Linked DNA regions of Coturnix japonica. The protein of the gene in region 1 interacts with the protein of each later gene in a biochemical or structural test. Links are inferred from orthologs where the notes say so. Each region holds a gene or a part of one and is shown in the gene's direction. Other genes may lie near its edges.

Evidence for each region.
Region 2: of the proteins of CASP3 (region 1) and PTGES3, one has a biochemical effect on the other in vitro, tested with the Homo sapiens proteins (2 studies listed by BioGRID and IntAct). The link is inferred for Coturnix japonica from reciprocal best matches to the Homo sapiens genes CASP3 and PTGES3.

What each region holds. Positions count from the first base shown.
Region 1 is NC_029519.1:34,957,393-34,965,353, forward strand, and holds the start of CASP3 (caspase-3), read left to right. Parts: upstream 1-3,185; 5' UTR 3,186-3,295; exon of another isoform or gene 3,296-3,300; intron 3,301-5,565; exon of another isoform or gene 5,566-5,705; intron 5,706-7,188; 5' UTR 7,189-7,207; coding exon 7,208-7,281; intron 7,282-7,961. UniProt on the Homo sapiens protein: Thiol protease that acts as a major effector caspase involved in the execution phase of apoptosis. Following cleavage and activation by initiator caspases (CASP8, CASP9 and/or CASP10), mediates execution of apoptosis by catalyzing cleavage of many proteins.
Region 2 is NC_029544.1:1,697,658-1,705,531, forward strand, and holds the start of PTGES3 (prostaglandin E synthase 3), read left to right. Parts: upstream 1-3,559; 5' UTR 3,560-3,808; coding exon 3,809-3,810; intron 3,811-6,921; coding exon 6,922-7,035; intron 7,036-7,193; coding exon 7,194-7,263; intron 7,264-7,788; coding exon 7,789-7,874. Other genes in the region: NACA (nascent polypeptide-associated complex subunit alpha), read left to right, coding at 836-921, 1,035-1,112, 1,535-1,681, 1,952-2,080, 2,271-2,654. UniProt on the Homo sapiens protein: Cytosolic prostaglandin synthase that catalyzes the oxidoreduction of prostaglandin endoperoxide H2 (PGH2) to prostaglandin E2 (PGE2).

The sequences.
Region 1 (7,961 bases):
ATTAATGATAAAATTGATTTTTTTTGTGGGGAAAAACATCACGTGGGTTCCCGATTTGAGTAACTCTGAGCTTTAATCTCAAAGGAAAAACAATATGAAATCCAAAGCTCCTTTACTTGCTGCCAACCCTTGCTATTGATTAGCATTTTCATCTGCTTTACAACCTCACGTTCTATATCCTTTCTTGCTGATTTAAACAGCAGTCCTACCTGTTATCAAGAAGCAGCACGTGATGCTGCAGTGCTTGCTATCACACAACCTTTAAACTCATAGTCATATAAAGTAATCCAAATGCTACTAAGGAAGGTAGTAAAGCAAAAAAAGAATACATGAACATGACACATGTATAATTATTTTTAAATTTTATTAGCTTTTTTTTTTTTTCTCTGGGAAAATTCAGTGCCCCTCAGCAATTCTGCAAATGGGTAAAGCCCTGCTAAGAAAACACGTGTATGGGAACTGCTGGGCCACAGCCTGAACCAGCTGAGCAGCTGCTTTAGGGGTGTAGCCGGCCCTGGGAGCACAGGTGGAAGCAATTCACTTGTGTGACTGGAAGGGGGCAGAGCCTGGCTCCACCTCTCCCTAACCTCATTTAAGGGCTGGCAGCCACAAGGGAAGGATCTCTACTTGGAGATCATCTCCTTTGGAGTGTTTGGTGAGCCCTGATCCTCAGAAAGGGGTAAGTGATTCCTTCTTTATTACTGGATTGTATCTGCTATCTATTTGTTGGGTTTAAAGCAACTATACCTGCTGCTGCCTTACAAGCAGGAAGAGGAAGAAGTAAAATAGAAAAAGAAAACCCACAAAAAACCTTTGGAAGTCCACCTTCTGTTCTTCCTGGCTCAACCACTATCCAGCCCTTAGATCTCATAACTACATGGCAGCTGCAATCCAGGGTAAAAAATGAAACTAGTTGTATTCAGAAGCATTCATACCTTTAACAACATCGATCCCCAAGGTGAATTCACATTTAAATATCCTTGTGGGCCTCAAAGACCAAGTGTTAGGTTTTCTGAACCCCCTTTCTGACTTTACTATAGAAGAGTTTCCTGGATGCATGTTTTGATAGCTCAGTGCTTATGTCCAATCTAAGTGACAGAGTACTTACTGATTTCTTTTATAGGGTCAAACATGTCTACAGATACTATCAGTCTGCTGACATACTAATTTCTTCTACTCCTTTTAAGGCTGTGAGGTTTCTTCTTGGAAATGGAAAGAGAAATCCTACCAGCAGTCAGCATTTCTGAGAAGTATTAGCAAATCTTTGGTTTCGCTTTGCTGATGGCCCTGCTGTAAATGAAAATGAAATGGGTACCAAAGCACAACAGATATTCCCCTAGATCACAACCTTCCCATGGGCAGAGGTTGATGGTTCAGAGATCTATTGCTGTTACTTCAGTCCAAACAACTGTTGGCTTCTCAGCAGTCCAACATGTCAGGTTTTTCCTGTGTCCACTATACCTAACTAAACACATCTATCTACAGCACGTAGATTTATATGACTTAATGGACGTGCATTTCATTTTCCCCCTTTGATGGAAGACCACCTCTTTTAGCGATGAGAACAGTGGAGTTCTTAACTATTTATACCTTAGCTTTGCGGTGGTGGTTTTAAATAAGTGAACTTGCTATTTCAGATGTGACAAACTTCTCCCTCTTGCTACAGACAACAGGAAAAAATGCAGCCTCTGCACCTGCTGGGAAATGAAGCTCAGACATGCAAATCAGCCACTGTTTAAAATAAGGCCTTTTGTTTGCGTTGGCCTCCTGGCCTACATGACTCAAGCTGTGTAGCTCTGTGCTGGAGCTCCCATCACCCAACACCAAGAAGTTCATCCAGCCTTAGAGGAGTATATTAGATAAGCTTTCTCCCTAGTGAAACATTTTAGTGTGTGAGATTGTCTTGATTGTCTTGATGCTGAGCTGACCTGTGGCACACTGAGTGCTGCTCATGTTTCCACAGCAACAAGGAACATCACATAGAATCATAAGATGGCTTGAGTTGGAAGGGACCTGAAGGATCATCTAGCTCCAACCGATATGCTGCAGATAGGGCTGCTAACTGCTAGACTGAGCACTAGACCAGGCTGCCCTTGAACACCTCCAGGGATGGGGCATCCACAGCCTCTCTGGGCAGGCTGTGTCAAAGTCTCACCATCCTTTCTGTGGAAAAACTTCCCCCTGACATCTAATCTAAATCTTTTCTCCTTTAGTTTAAGACTCTTGTCCCATTTCCCCTTGTCCTATCACTACGTACCCTTGTAAATAGTAGATTTCCCTCCTGTTTATAAAGTCTCTCTCCATACTGGAAGGCTGTAATAAGGTCTCCCTACAGCCTTCTCCAGATTGAACAAGCCTAGTTTCTTCAGTACCCCCACCTTCATTCCTCTCAGCATCCTTATGTGCCTCCTCTGGGCCCTCTCTAAAAGTTCCACATCTTTCCTGTGCTGTGGGCCCTAGACCTGGACCCAGGACTCCAGATGGGACCTCAGGAGGGCAGAATGGAGGGGGACAAGCCTTTCCCTGCTGGCCACTCCTCTTCTGATGGAGCCCAGGATGCTGCTGTCCTTCAGGGCTAAAAGCACACACTGCCGGCTCATGTTAAGTCTTCCATCTAACAGGATCCCTAAGTCCTCAGCAGAAGGTGAGCTGGAAGGTACTGATGGAGCTGGAACTGCAGCACAGATCCCATGTGCTACTGCAGAAGGTGGGCGCGGAAATGTTCCTAGGAACAAGCTTGGCCTCCACCTGGGGATCAGCTGCAGTTATTAATCATGTAACTGAGAAAGATGAACCCACGTTAAGTGACTGTCCTATTTCACCCATCTCAGTACTTCTGCATCCACTTAGCGCCCTGAAATCAGGGCAGCCTCACTTTGGTGAGGCTCTTTGCAAATGCCTCGAGCCTTTCACTTTATGAGCGGCCGTTCTGACCGTCAGGACTGTAATGTCTCCCAGCAGACAGCAGTGCAGCAGGGCGCAGTTTCGGACACGGCCGGCACGTACTTACAGAGCAGAGCCCGGACTTGGCCCGCAGGCAGCACTCCCTCACCCGGCCGCCTGCTCTCTGGCAGCGATCATTCCCGCATCGTTCCCGCAGTGAATCACAGCTTCGTGTGCCGTGGCCGTGGCGCCGAGACCCGCCGTATCCCGCCACTCCGAGTCCCGCGCGCTGGCGTTCGAACGGCGGCCGTTGTGAGGCGGGGCCGTGCCGCGGGGCGGGGCTGGCTGCTGGCTGCTGCCGGCATTGCGGCCCGTTGGCGGCGGAGCGGGCGGCGGTGCCGGAGGTGAGGAGGTGAGGTGAGGCGGGGCAGAGCTGGCTGACCGGAGGGTGGGGTGGGGTGGGGTGGCAGCCGAGCTGCGCGGCCCCGCGGCGGCGGTGCGGGGTGAGGCGGGGCGGGCTGCGCTTTGTTCCCTCGGAGCGCTCCGCCATGGCGGCACTGCGGCCACAGGGAGCGCAGCTGCGTTAGCGTTACCGCGTGTGTACGAAGGCATGAAACAACAGCTTCCAGCCTCTAACAGCCCCGTGACTGTGTGTTTGCGGTCACACGCGGCGAGCTGTGCCCTTCTGTCACACGTAGGGCGCGTTGTGTGTCTGCGGTTTCTGTTTCGGACACGCGCTTCGTGGCTGTGACGGGTTGTTGTGTGGCAGCTGTAGGGCGAGCTGCCTGCACGGCTGTGAGGGCAGCTGGAGGCGGGTCAGCCTGCGGCTTCCCTTCCTCTCTCGGAAGCTTGGCTGTTATTGGCAGTGTTGTACAGTTTGTGTGGTTCAGAATTCAAGCGAACAGTGCCTCGAATTGAATCGTACAATCGTTTCAGGGACCTCCAAAGGCCGCGTGGTCCCCTCTGTACTGAACAGGGACACCTGCAGCTCCATCAGGTGCTCAGAGCCCCCCCTGCCTGACCTGGGCTGTCTCCAGGGATGGGGCATCCACCGCCTCTGGGCAGCCTTGGTGGTTCTTATGTGGCAGCAGTGATAGATACGAAGATCTGAGTGCGATAAATAAGTCCAGGATGGAACAAACTAAACACTTAAATTTAATCATCTCCCTATCAAAACAAAAGCATTGAAACAACTGCATCTAGGTAGAGCAAAATATGCTTTTGGTTTCATTGCTGTCTAGGAGACGCTGGTTGTTTCTCATAGCTTGCTGAGCATTGTGCCTCTCTCAAGCACTGTGTTTTACCACACTGTACTGCTGCAGCTCACTGTAGGATTACCTTTACACCCTTTATCTCCATCTCGCAGCTTGTTTGCTTAGCCTGTGTGACCTGAAGCAGAAATATTGTAAAACAGGTCATAAAAATAGGCTTCCTGACATCTGCAGAACGTATTCTGCTGGGTTTGTAAAAAAGCTGCTGCTTGTTTTTGCTGCTTGATTTTTTACATTTCCTTGGGATTGAAAACTCTTCTTACCAAAGCTTTCAGGAAAGGAGCATCAAGGAGCAGATTAAGTTCTCTTATTAATTTTTTGAAGCGTTGTCCTGATTTCTTTCCCCGTCCCTTTCAGCATGAGATCATTCTCCACAGGGAAATGTGAATTCTGCTTGACAGAATATGACATCATTGCATTACCTCAACTAGGATGAGGCAATTCTTAGTCCATTTGAATCAGCATCGTCCTGCAGGGAGCAGTGCTGTCACCTTGACTGGTGCTTTAAAGCAGAAAGCGTGTGTTTGAGCGCCTAGCAAGGAAACAGGTCTCTCTTTGTGGATGTATGTTGCCTTTTAGAGAAGCGCAAGTGACTTGGTGCATTAAGGCATTCAGAAACTCTGAACTCTTCTTACTCTTTATAGCAAGTGTTGATATTATTGATAGTGTTGTTAGTGAATCATTCAGTTGTGCTAAATCTTAAAGTTGCCTGTTGAAGTCTGCAGCCATTTGCCAGCGTTTTTCCTGCTGCTGCTTACTGAAACCAGCCCCTAATGGGATGCAGGGTTTTGTTTGGCGCAGCTGCCCAGAGCAGCTTGGTAATCCACTTACCCTCTGTAACCATCCTAAATTCACTCTGTAGGCCAAGGAGTCAAGAGCTGTCCCCATACTTTGGCCAAGTCTTTCTATAAGCAGTCCTTGGTAGCTTGGCTCATGTGATGGACAAGGTGTGACCACATCTCAGGTGGTCATATATTTGTTAGTTTACACTGCCTGGGCCCAGCCCTTAAGTGCTGGCACTGCCGAGCTTCATAGTGCTGGAGAAATATCTGTGCCGGAGCAGGGGGATGTTGGACATTCTTTTCAATGACAGCTGTTCTTGCCAATTCCCAGCAGTGTCAAGCTCTACAGTTCACTGCAACTGAAAAGCAGAGAGTTCTATGCTTGTGTTACCCTTTGGAACCATGTGTCTTTTTTTTTTTTATGTAGGGAGCTTCTAAGAAATTAAACTTTGTAGCTGGGCAGAGTGAATCCTGATCATGGTGCTGGGTAGGGAAGTTCAGCATAACCAACTGGGTTCCTGCCTCATCATATTTAAAGTGTGTTTCTAAAATATAAACTGATGATGCATCTTATGAACTCTATTTCTAAAATAACAGCTTTTTTGATGCTTCTGTAATTTGTTTTTCAGGAGATCTCATATGTATTATGATATAGTTCTCAAGTCTGGAATCACCTTGTGAACCATATTTCTTAATTACGTCAGTGCTTCAAGATACAGTGAAGCAGTAGTCAGAATAACCTTGAAGATCTTTTGGAGCTACTAGAAATGTACGTAACTGTCTCTAAAGAAACAAGGAAAGAGAGAAGTTCATACATACCCAGACTAGTGCTTTTCGTGCATTGGCAATTGTAGCCACAGAAAATACGTGGTCCCAAGGATATTCATGGTGTATTATTTAGAATATAAATAAGAAGAGTAATTATTACTTTGTCTTGTGCAGAGATTTAACTTTGTGATGCTTAGACCTTTTCTGAATCCCAAGTTATCTTTAACTTGTGATGATGGCATTAAACTAAGAGGGTAGATTTACATTAGACAATGAGAAGTTGTTTGGGTTTTTTTGTTTTCTTTTTCATTCAGAGGGCAGTGAGGTGCTGGCACTGCTGCCCAGAGCTGTGGGTGCCCCATCCCTGTAGGTGCCCAAGGTTGGATGGGCCCTGGTGTCTCGCTCCAATTTAGGAGTGAGGCAAGGTTCTTTTGATATGTTATGCCCAGCGTGAGATTAAGAAGAAAAACATTCAAATGTTGATCCGACCAGTTTATTAGAAATAATAGACAGCAGAGGGGATGGGGAAAGGAGAGCGGCGAATACCAAAATTAGGGTGATGGGGATGGGAAAGTAGGCGATAGAAAAAGTAGGAAAAGAGGCAAGAATTGCTTAAAAGTGGGGAATAGTCACCACCTGGATGCAGCAGCGTCCCGTTGCACGTTGTTTCGTTGATCCGGGGCAAAATAGGCGTAGGGGAGAGCAGCAGCAGAGTGGCGGGCCGCAAGCAGCAGATCAGTGCAGCGCAGAGCAGATGGTCAGAGTAGCAAGGTCTCATGGAGCAGAGTCTCGAGCAGCAATCCCAGGAGAGACAGTAGGCAGCAGTAGGACGACGGTGGAGGAATCAAAGGTCAGATACCTAAAAGATTCTTCAGCATGCAGGCATCTTCTTCAGAATGCAGGCGTTCACGTAGAGAGGCATCTGATGACAGAAAACCTCCTTGTTTCCGTAGTGAGGCATCTGGTGTCAGAAAACCTAAATTCGGGGTTTGTACGTGCCCTTTTTATCCTTCTTCTTCCCGGCCTACCTGACAATCCTGGAAGGCTCGGGTCAGAGTCCTGTGAATTCCTCGGAGATGGCCATCTTCCTTGAGACAGGCCCACACAGAAAGACCACTTTAGGGCCATTAATCTGCATCTTATCTCCCTTTCGTAGCTCCCAGACTTGTCCATCTCTTAAACAAAGGGATTTCTCGAACCTTGGTTCCTATGTGTCTCAGACAAAGGGAGTCCTGGAACCTTGGCCAGGACTTGCCTGAACTTGTCCATTTCAGCAAACTTTTGAGGCAATAGTGTAAAAAGCATGGCCTCTTACACCTGGGCAGCCTGAGCTGGTGGGGGCACCCAGTTCACGGCAGTGATTGGGGCTTGGGTGGCTTTAAGGTCCCTTCTAAATCAAACCATCAACTGGAAGGAAGGATTATTGCTTTTAAATTAATTTCTGCCTTGATATCTTATGTTTCTTTTTTGCTTGTGTTTTCAAGCTGATAATCAAGAGCCAGAATGACAGACATAAAAGATGGACCACGCTCAGGGGAAGATCTGTCAGATGCAAGATCTTTCCCTGGTTCCAAAGGGTAAGTGAGATACTTTTGGCTTAAGTTTTCAATGTAAGTGTTGAGGAATCTTATGCTGTAACTGAAGATGAGAGCTGTAGAAGAGATACTAATAAAATTAAGCTTTCAAATATGCTACAGTATGCTAATCATTTATATATATATATATATAAAAGTTCCTGTGCTGGCTTTGAAAGTATACCATCTCTGACAAAACAGGCCATATGTATGAACAAGGAACAAAAAAGCAGAATACCTAAGGTGCAGTTAGATATGGGTTAGCAGTTACCAAGCCATTAACTATAGTTAAAAAGAAATTTCTCTGTCTTAACCTAAGCTAAATGTTCACACCTTTCCTTGAACTGCTTCTAGAGCTCACTGGAACCTGCAGCAGACAGTTCAGTCTCTTAAACTGGCCTTCTGTAGACCTATGTGTGCAGAAGGAGTAGTGCAAGGGGGATTTCCAGCAGTGCAAAGGAAGATGAGCAGTCCTGTTTTTCCTGGTGACATTCGTTGTTCCATTGGCGTAGCACTATGACCACATTACACCCTCCCTGGGAAGATAATTTCCTTCTGAAGTCATTCATTCAAGTGCCTCAAGCAAAAGTTGATTTAAGAGCATTACAAACTCTTTATATGTAAAACACAGTGTGGTAGCAGGTCTCAATCTTGTAACCGCTTGCATGTGTGCTTAAATGAGG
Region 2 (7,874 bases), on another chromosome or scaffold:
TTTCCCACTGTCCATCCACCAGCAGAGCGTTGCTGGGGGCTGTGCTGGTGCCTGGGCATCACCCAGCAACCTGCAGAGACCTTTGTTGTGGGCTCCTGTTTGCGTGGTGTGTACAGAGACACTTTCCAGAGAAGGAAATGGGCCTGAATTTGGGTGGCAGCTGCATGAGAGAGCACTGAGCTCACCCTGCAGCCTGCTCTGCGGGCTGGAGACACACAGCTCTGCTTTGTGTGGTGTTCTGGAAGGTACCGTGCACTGCATGAGCTGGTGGAGAGGCCAAACTGAGTGTCCAAAAGGTTGTTTTTGATGAGGGTTTTCAAACTGAGTATAGATCAGCCTGTCATCGAGTCACAGAGAGGTGCAGCAGCCCCAAGGGCCTGGTGGGCTGGGTCTTGGTTCCGTGCCGTGTCTCAGCTCCCGCAGTGCCTGCAGCTGAACAGGTTTGAGGAGCTCTGAGAGCATTGCTGCTGACTCACTGGGCCGTGGCTCTGGCCTGGAGCATTGGAGTTGGGCTGAGTCTTTGGGCACAGAGCACTGCCTGGCCCCTGGTGTGGCTTCTCTGGCTGCTCTTGGGCATCTTCCACCATGGCAAGAGCCAGGAGGAGGCAGGGTGGCTCTGACTGGCCCACTGCTGTCCCTGCTCATGGCTGCAAAGCTCTTCCCACCAGGTGTTACTCAAGCACACCAACTGGAAATGCATTTCACTTGGAATTCAAATCACCAGCAACAGCTGACACTAAGGCATTAGTGTTCCATGAGCTTACTGTGTCCCCTGGAGCTGCCTGAAGCTCCTGGCAAGGTGCTGAGCTGAGAACTGTGACATTCATTTCTGCAGGGTCTGGAACAGAGTCTGACAGCGATGAGTCTGTACCAGAGCTTGAAGAGCACGACTCCACACAGGCCACAACACAGCAGGCACAGGTAGGGAGGGGTGCAAACCAGCCACCCCGTGTCCTGTGGGGACAGATATATGCCCTTTACCCCACCAGCTCTGTATGGTTGTCACAGCACTCTCCTGTTTGCTCTCCTTGCAGCTTGCAGCAGCAGCTGAAATAGATGAAGAACCTGTTAGCAAAGCAAAACAGAGCCGGAGTGAAAAGAAAGCACGGAAGGTAAGAGGAAGGCGAGTGGGCAGATGTGTATGTGGACAAGCTGTGGCTTTGGGGTCTTGCATATTACCCTCGAGTGCCTGGTGTTTGCCTTGGGAAGCCATTCAAGGCAGCAGCTCCTCACCTCCCAGCCCAGCATTGCAGCCTGTGGGAGCTGCAAGAGGTTCATATCACTTTTTGCCTTCATTAGACCCCTAGGCGAGGGAATGTCCCTGTTCATAAGCAAAATCCTTTTGTCTGGAGTGGCTCCATGGATCCATGGATGATGTGGATCCATGACGTGGATGGGACTTAGAAGTTTCCTCCCAGACTGTGCTATGTCAGTCTGAAAACCTGAGAATGACTGATGAGGGGACACAACTGACGGGCTGAGCTGTGTCAGTACCTTTTCATCCCTTCACTTCTCTTTCTCATTTGTTTTTCAGGCAATGTCTAAACTCGGCCTCCGCCAGGTCACAGGAGTAACCAGAGTCACCATCCGCAAATCTAAGAACATCCTCTTTGTCATCACAAAACCTGATGTGTACAAGAGCCCAGCATCAGACACCTATATAGTCTTTGGAGAAGCAAAGGTCAGCTGACTGCCGTGCCAGGCAGCCACACTCCTCCGTGTTCACAGCAACAGGGGGCAGACTGCAGAGCTGTGAGGGGTGGTGGGGGTTTGTTCTTGCTGCCTACACCCCTATTTGTGCCCTGGGGTGGTGCAGGGAGGCCCACAACCCACACCGACATCGGGGTTGCTGCGTGTGGGTGCTGCCAAGCTCAGCCTCCCCCATCTGAGCCTGTGTGCCGCCATCACACTGCATGGACCTGGCCTCACTTCTGCTCTTTCCTTCTTCTAGATTGAAGATCTGTCCCAGCAGGCCCAGCTGGCGGCTGCCGAGAAGTTCAAAGTGCAAGGAGAAGCCGTCTCAAACATCCAGGAAAACACACAGACCCCCACCGTGCAGGAGGAGAGCGAGGAAGAAGAGGTGAGCCCTTCCCCAGACGGCCCTGTAGGGCTTCCCCATCCACTCCTGCCTCTGATGGGCGGCCAAGCAGGATGTGTGTGCAGACATGCAGCTCTCCATCTGCCTCAATGGCAGAAGGGAGCAGATCCTTGGGGGCTGCAAGGAGCAAACTGTGCTGAGCTGCAGTCAGAGCTGGACGCTGCTTCTTTAGGTTGATGAAACCGGTGTGGAGGTGAAAGACATCGAGCTGGTCATGTCCCAGGCCAACGTGTCCAGAGCGAAGGCGGTCCGTGCCCTGAAGAACAACAGCAACGACATTGTAAACGCTATAATGGTGAGCTGCTGTGTGCTGGGGGGGGGCCTACATCCCACATTTCACATCCCATATCCCATAACCCACATTTCATATCCCACATTCTATATCTCATATCCCACATCCCACCTCTGCTGTTTGAGGCCTACCACTAGGCCGCACTGCCGCCATTGGGGCCTACTGCCTCCATTTGGGCCCTACTGCCTCCATTGGGGCCTACTGCCGCCATGGGGCCATACTGATGCCATTCGGGGCACTACTGCCGCCATTGTGGGCCTCTGATGCCATTGAGGCCTACTGCCTCCATTGGGGCCTACTGCCTCCATTGGGGGCCTACTGCCACCATTGGGGCCTTACTGATGCCATTGAGGCCTACCGCCATTGAGGCCTACCGCCATTGGGGCCTACTGCCTCATTGGGGCCTGCTGATGCCATTGGGGACCTGCTGAATGCCATTGGGGCCTACTGAAATCGCCATTGAGGGCCTATTGATGCCATTGGACGCACTACTGCCCCATTGCAGAGACCTACTGATGCCATTGGGGCCTACTGCCGCCATTGGGGCCTACTGCCTCCATTGGGGCCTACTGATGCCATTGGGGCCTACTGATGCCATTGGGGCCTACTGATGCCATTGGGGCCTACTGCCGCCATGGGGGCTACTCCGCCATGAGGCCTACAGCCCCCATTGAGGCCTACAGCCCCCATTGAGGCCTACAGCCCCCATTGAGGCCTACAGCCCCCATTGAGGCCTACTGTCGCCTTTGGGGCCTACTGACGCCTCTTTTTCTCTCCTCAGGAGATTGACGTGTAGAGCCGAACGGCAGGAGAGGGAACCTATTACTATATTTCTTTTTTTTTTTTTTTTTTTTTTTTTTTTTTTTGGTTATTTCAGAGAAGACTTAAAGGAAAACCTACATTTAACATTTGTACTTTGTTTCTATCAGTTAATAAAACTTAATTGATAGAGCCGCACTGACTGAGGCCTCAACTTCTCTCAGGCGCGCCTACAGGCCGCTGCCCCCCCCCCATGTCTCCATGGTAACCACTGGCTCCGCCCACTCAGCGCAGTGCGCATGCGCGCCGAGAAGCTGCTAGAAGGGAGGAGGGGGCGTGGCCAATGAGGGGAGGGCGGGAAGCGCCGCGCGCCGGAGGCGACACGCGGGACACGCGCATGCGCAGAGTGAAGCGGCCGAATCGGCGCGGCGGTATTTTGCTGCGTCACCAACGTTGGGCGCCGCCGCCGCGCGGTGCATTGTGGGAACCGAGGCCGCGCCGAGCCCGGAGCCTTCGGAGCGCCCGGAGCTCAACGGGCCGCACCGACACACACCGACACACCGACACACACCGACACACACCGAGAGACACAGCGCCGCCACCCGCCGGGTTAGGCCGTGTCCCCCCAACGACTGGAGCCGCCGCCGCCGCCACTCGCCATGTGAGGCCCTGAGGGGGGTTGTGTGTGTGTGGGGGGGGCGCTCCGGGCCTACACCGTGAGCGGCGGAGGGGGCGGGCACCGACATGGGAACAGGCCGCGGCCTGGAGCGGAGCAACGCGATCAGCGCCGGGATGGGCCGCGACATGAGGCCTGTCCCGGTGCGGGGCAGCGAGCAGCGAGACGGCGGGCAATGAATGGGAACCGGGCGGGGACGGACGGGGCTGCGGGACGGGACGGGATGAGCTCCGGGTCCGGCTGAGCTCCGGGTCCGGTCGAGCCCCGGGTCCGGTTGAGCCCCGGGCCGGGCTGAGCGCTGAGCCCGATGTGTTGTGCCCTAAGTGGTTCAGCTCCATGCAGTGATTGGAGTGAATGCAAACAGCGGCACCTTCCCGGTGTTATTTGCCCCAAACCCCGTGACTTGAGACCCGCCGGTTCTCATTGATCCAATGGGTTGATCACTGTGGCCATCACCGCCATCACTCTGAGCTCTAGGGCTGCTGAATGGGACTTAGAAGGAGCAAAGAGTCTCAGAGCTGAGAGCTCCGTGTAACCTTAAAGGCTGCATCATCCCCAGAGCTCAGCGCTGCTGCATTGCGATGCCTGGGGTTGTTCTCACGGCCTGCAGCTCCCACGTGGTGCTGGGAGATGAAAGCAAAAGGAGTTAATGCAAAAGGAGTTAATGGGGAGCAAAACTCGTCACGCTGGCTGTGGAGATAAGAGGGTTTCTCGTGATCCTCTATGGGGGGTGAGGATCTTTGTCCAGCAGATGATGCCTGCAGCCATCCGGGCTGTCAATGTGCTTTCCAGGATGGGATGTGTCCTCCCAGTGTGTTGAATGGGGAAGAGAAAAAGCACGTGGGCAGCTTTGGGGGCATCCTGATGGCCTCAAGTTGTGCCTGGTGTGATCTGAGCTCAATATGGGGGCACAGGGGCTGAGGATCCCCCCCCCCCCCAACGGAGCCTACCAAGGGGTGAGGGGGCTTCTCAACCCAGCACAGAGCTGCTGTGATCATTGCCATCCTCATTGGACAAGGGGGATGGTTTGAAACTGAGATAGGGAAGGTTTAGGTTGGATTTTAGGAGGAAGGTGGTAATGCATTGGAACAGGCTGCCTAAAGAGGCTGTGGATGCCCCATCCCTGCAGGCATTCAAGGCCAGGCTGGATGTGGCTCTGGGCAGCTGGTTGGTGACCCTGCACATAATGGGGTTGGGACTCAGTGCTCACTGTGGTCCTTTTTAACCCAGGCCATTCTATGTGTCTGTATTCAGAAGGTCACCAGACTCTACAGGTGATGGTGGAGCCCTCTGGGAATATGGGGAGGGCTCCATTGCTGTGCTTGGCTCTATTCAGTGCCTGGCAGTTGGTTGTTGGGTGGGACTTAAGGTTTATTTGCTCTGTTCTCAATGTGGTTAGGACAGGAGGGCGATCCATCACCAAAGCACACACACAACGCTCTGCTTGACAATGTTGGCATAAGGCTGAAGTAACGTCTAATTAATTTATTCTGCTCTCATTCTATGAGCTCAGCTGAGCCAGGAGGAAGCGCTGGGCTCTGCTTAATGATCCCAACATCCTTCTCAGTGCTGGGAGGAAATGGGTGCTGGGTCTGCGGGGGGTGAGGGGGAACCACCTGCACTGCTCAACCTGGGTCTGCTCAGAGCAGTGTGAACCACAGCACAGCATGAGATAGGAATCACCATTAGAAGCCACTATGTAGCTGCCCTATTCAGATGGTGAGTCCAGCAGCCCAGGGAAGGCCTCTGTTTCCCTATGAGAGATGGAAAGGAAGGTGAGTAGTTCATATAAGACTTCTAGCACGGTTTTAATGTGTTGCACTGAGTGTATTTCAGCATGTGGGGAGGTACTAGAAGTTTGCTGTTAGAAACATGAATTGCATTGGAGTAAGCTGGATACAAGCATCGAGGCTGGGTTAGAACAGCACAACCAGGGAACGTGCCCAGCTCGCAGGGAAGGCTGGGGATGTCTCCATTGACACTGCAAACACGTGCAAAGTCTTCTTGCTATTCACAAGAGCCTCAGCACCGTGCTCAGCAGGGACACTGAGGCTGCTGTTGTGATAACAGCACGCTGGCTGGTGGGATCTCTGTCCCTTGGCTTTATAAGCAGCAGCAATTCAGGAATCAGCCGTGGAGTGGATCCCATTTGGTCTCTCTCCCCTTTATCAGCTGAATCACAGTAGCTTCAATCCCAACTCCTTGCAGGCAGGAAGAATGGTGGGGTTTGAACTTAAAACAGCGTCTGTGAGTTGTGGTTGTGGGGCTGCTTTGGGCTCACAGCAGTGGCTGCACCCTATGGGTCACGGTGCAGGTGAGCTCAGTAGCTGCAGCTGAATGGGGTGGGAGTTGAGATCTGCTCTGGAAGCTTAACGGCGGGTCACCCTGATGGAACGTTCTGGAAACTTAATCCGTCTTTGGTTGGGTTCTCATGCTGTAATGCTTTAGAGTGCAGCGCTGAGTCCGAGCACCTCACAGCATGAAGGTGCTACAGAGAGCAGCACCTTATTCTATGTGTCCTGATGTGCTTTCACTGCCTGGAGCTGTGCTGGAAATACCAAAGGAAATGACCGGCGGGTTCAGAACAGGAAACTTCAGCACTGGAATTGCAGCGTTGCTCACACACCTCTGGGAGCAAAGCTCTGTGCTCACCCTGCCATAGCAACAGCAGCTCCTGCTGGGTGTTTAACACTGGGATGGGGTGGTTGAGCTGTGGGGATGGGCTGGATGTGATGGGAGCTGGCAGTGGGGCTGCTGTTACCCCCCTGGTGTGGGGTGGATGCACTCAAACAGTGCTGCTCACCTGGAGCTTGAGCTGCCTGTATGGAAGCTCAGGAACCCAGCAGTGTTTTGTGCTGCAGGAGGGCAGGAGCTGCCTTCTGTCTCAAGGGATGCCAGCTTGGAGTTGGAATCTGCAGGTGTAGAATGTGAAATGTGGGTCATGATGCTGCTGGTTTGGTGGTACCGATCCCAGCTGGGTTTGACGTGAAGCTCTTGGACGACCCATCTTCTCTTCAGCCTTCATATCAGCTTTAAATGCTCTTTAAAGGCGAGCTGAAATCCTAACCTGAATGTCTTTAAATGGTCTCCCTGCAGGCAGCCTGCTTCTGCGAAGTGGTACGACCGAAGGGATTACGTCTTCATCGAGTTCTGTGTGGAAGACAGTAAAGATGTTAATGTAAATTTTGAGAAATCCAAACTTACGTTCAGGTAAGTGCTGGGTCACGTCAGCACTGGGATACCCACAGCTGCACCAGTGCTGATGAGGTGATGCTTTACCTTAAAGGAGCGAGCTCTGTTACCAACCTTTATTTATAGCATAAGACATTTCCTGCTGAAAGCTCTTTTGTTTTTTGTTCTCTCCCCAGTTGTCTTGGAGGAAGTGATAACTTTAAACATTTAAACGAAATCGACCTTTTTAATAATATTGATCCAAATGTAAGTACCCTCTGCAGCTCTTCTACCACGTTCTTAACGCTGTGTGCAGAATGTTCAGCTCTTTCTCATTCACATTGCCTGCCTTTCCTAAAGCAAGTTGCACCCTGCAGAGGGGAGCTGCTCCCCCTGTGCTGCCCCTTGTTTGCTCCTCCTCACCCATGGGCACATAAGGGGGGTTTTGCTCAGTCAACCTCAAGCACTCGGTGCCGTTTCACCTGTTGCATTTCCTCACTTTTAATTATTGTTGTAATTAAAAGCATGGCATTGATTTCTGGAGTCATGCAGACCTGCTGGTAATGGGAGCTGTCTGATAAATAGCCACGCTGTGCTTTCGTGTGTCTGAGTGCTTTTGCACCCTAAGGATCAACTTTCTCACAGTACTGGGGGTAGCTTAAAGAACAGGCAGTGCTTTTCAGGGCAAGGAATAACTAAACAGCTTAAAACAATGAATAATATGAGTTTGTGATGGTGTCAGTGATTACTAAACTAACAATTACTGTCTTTTTTATGTCTTTCTTTCCCCAGGAATCAAAGCATAAAAGAACAGACAGATCTATCTTGTGTTGTTTACGAAAAGGAGAATCTGGTCAGGCATGGCCAAGGTTAACAAA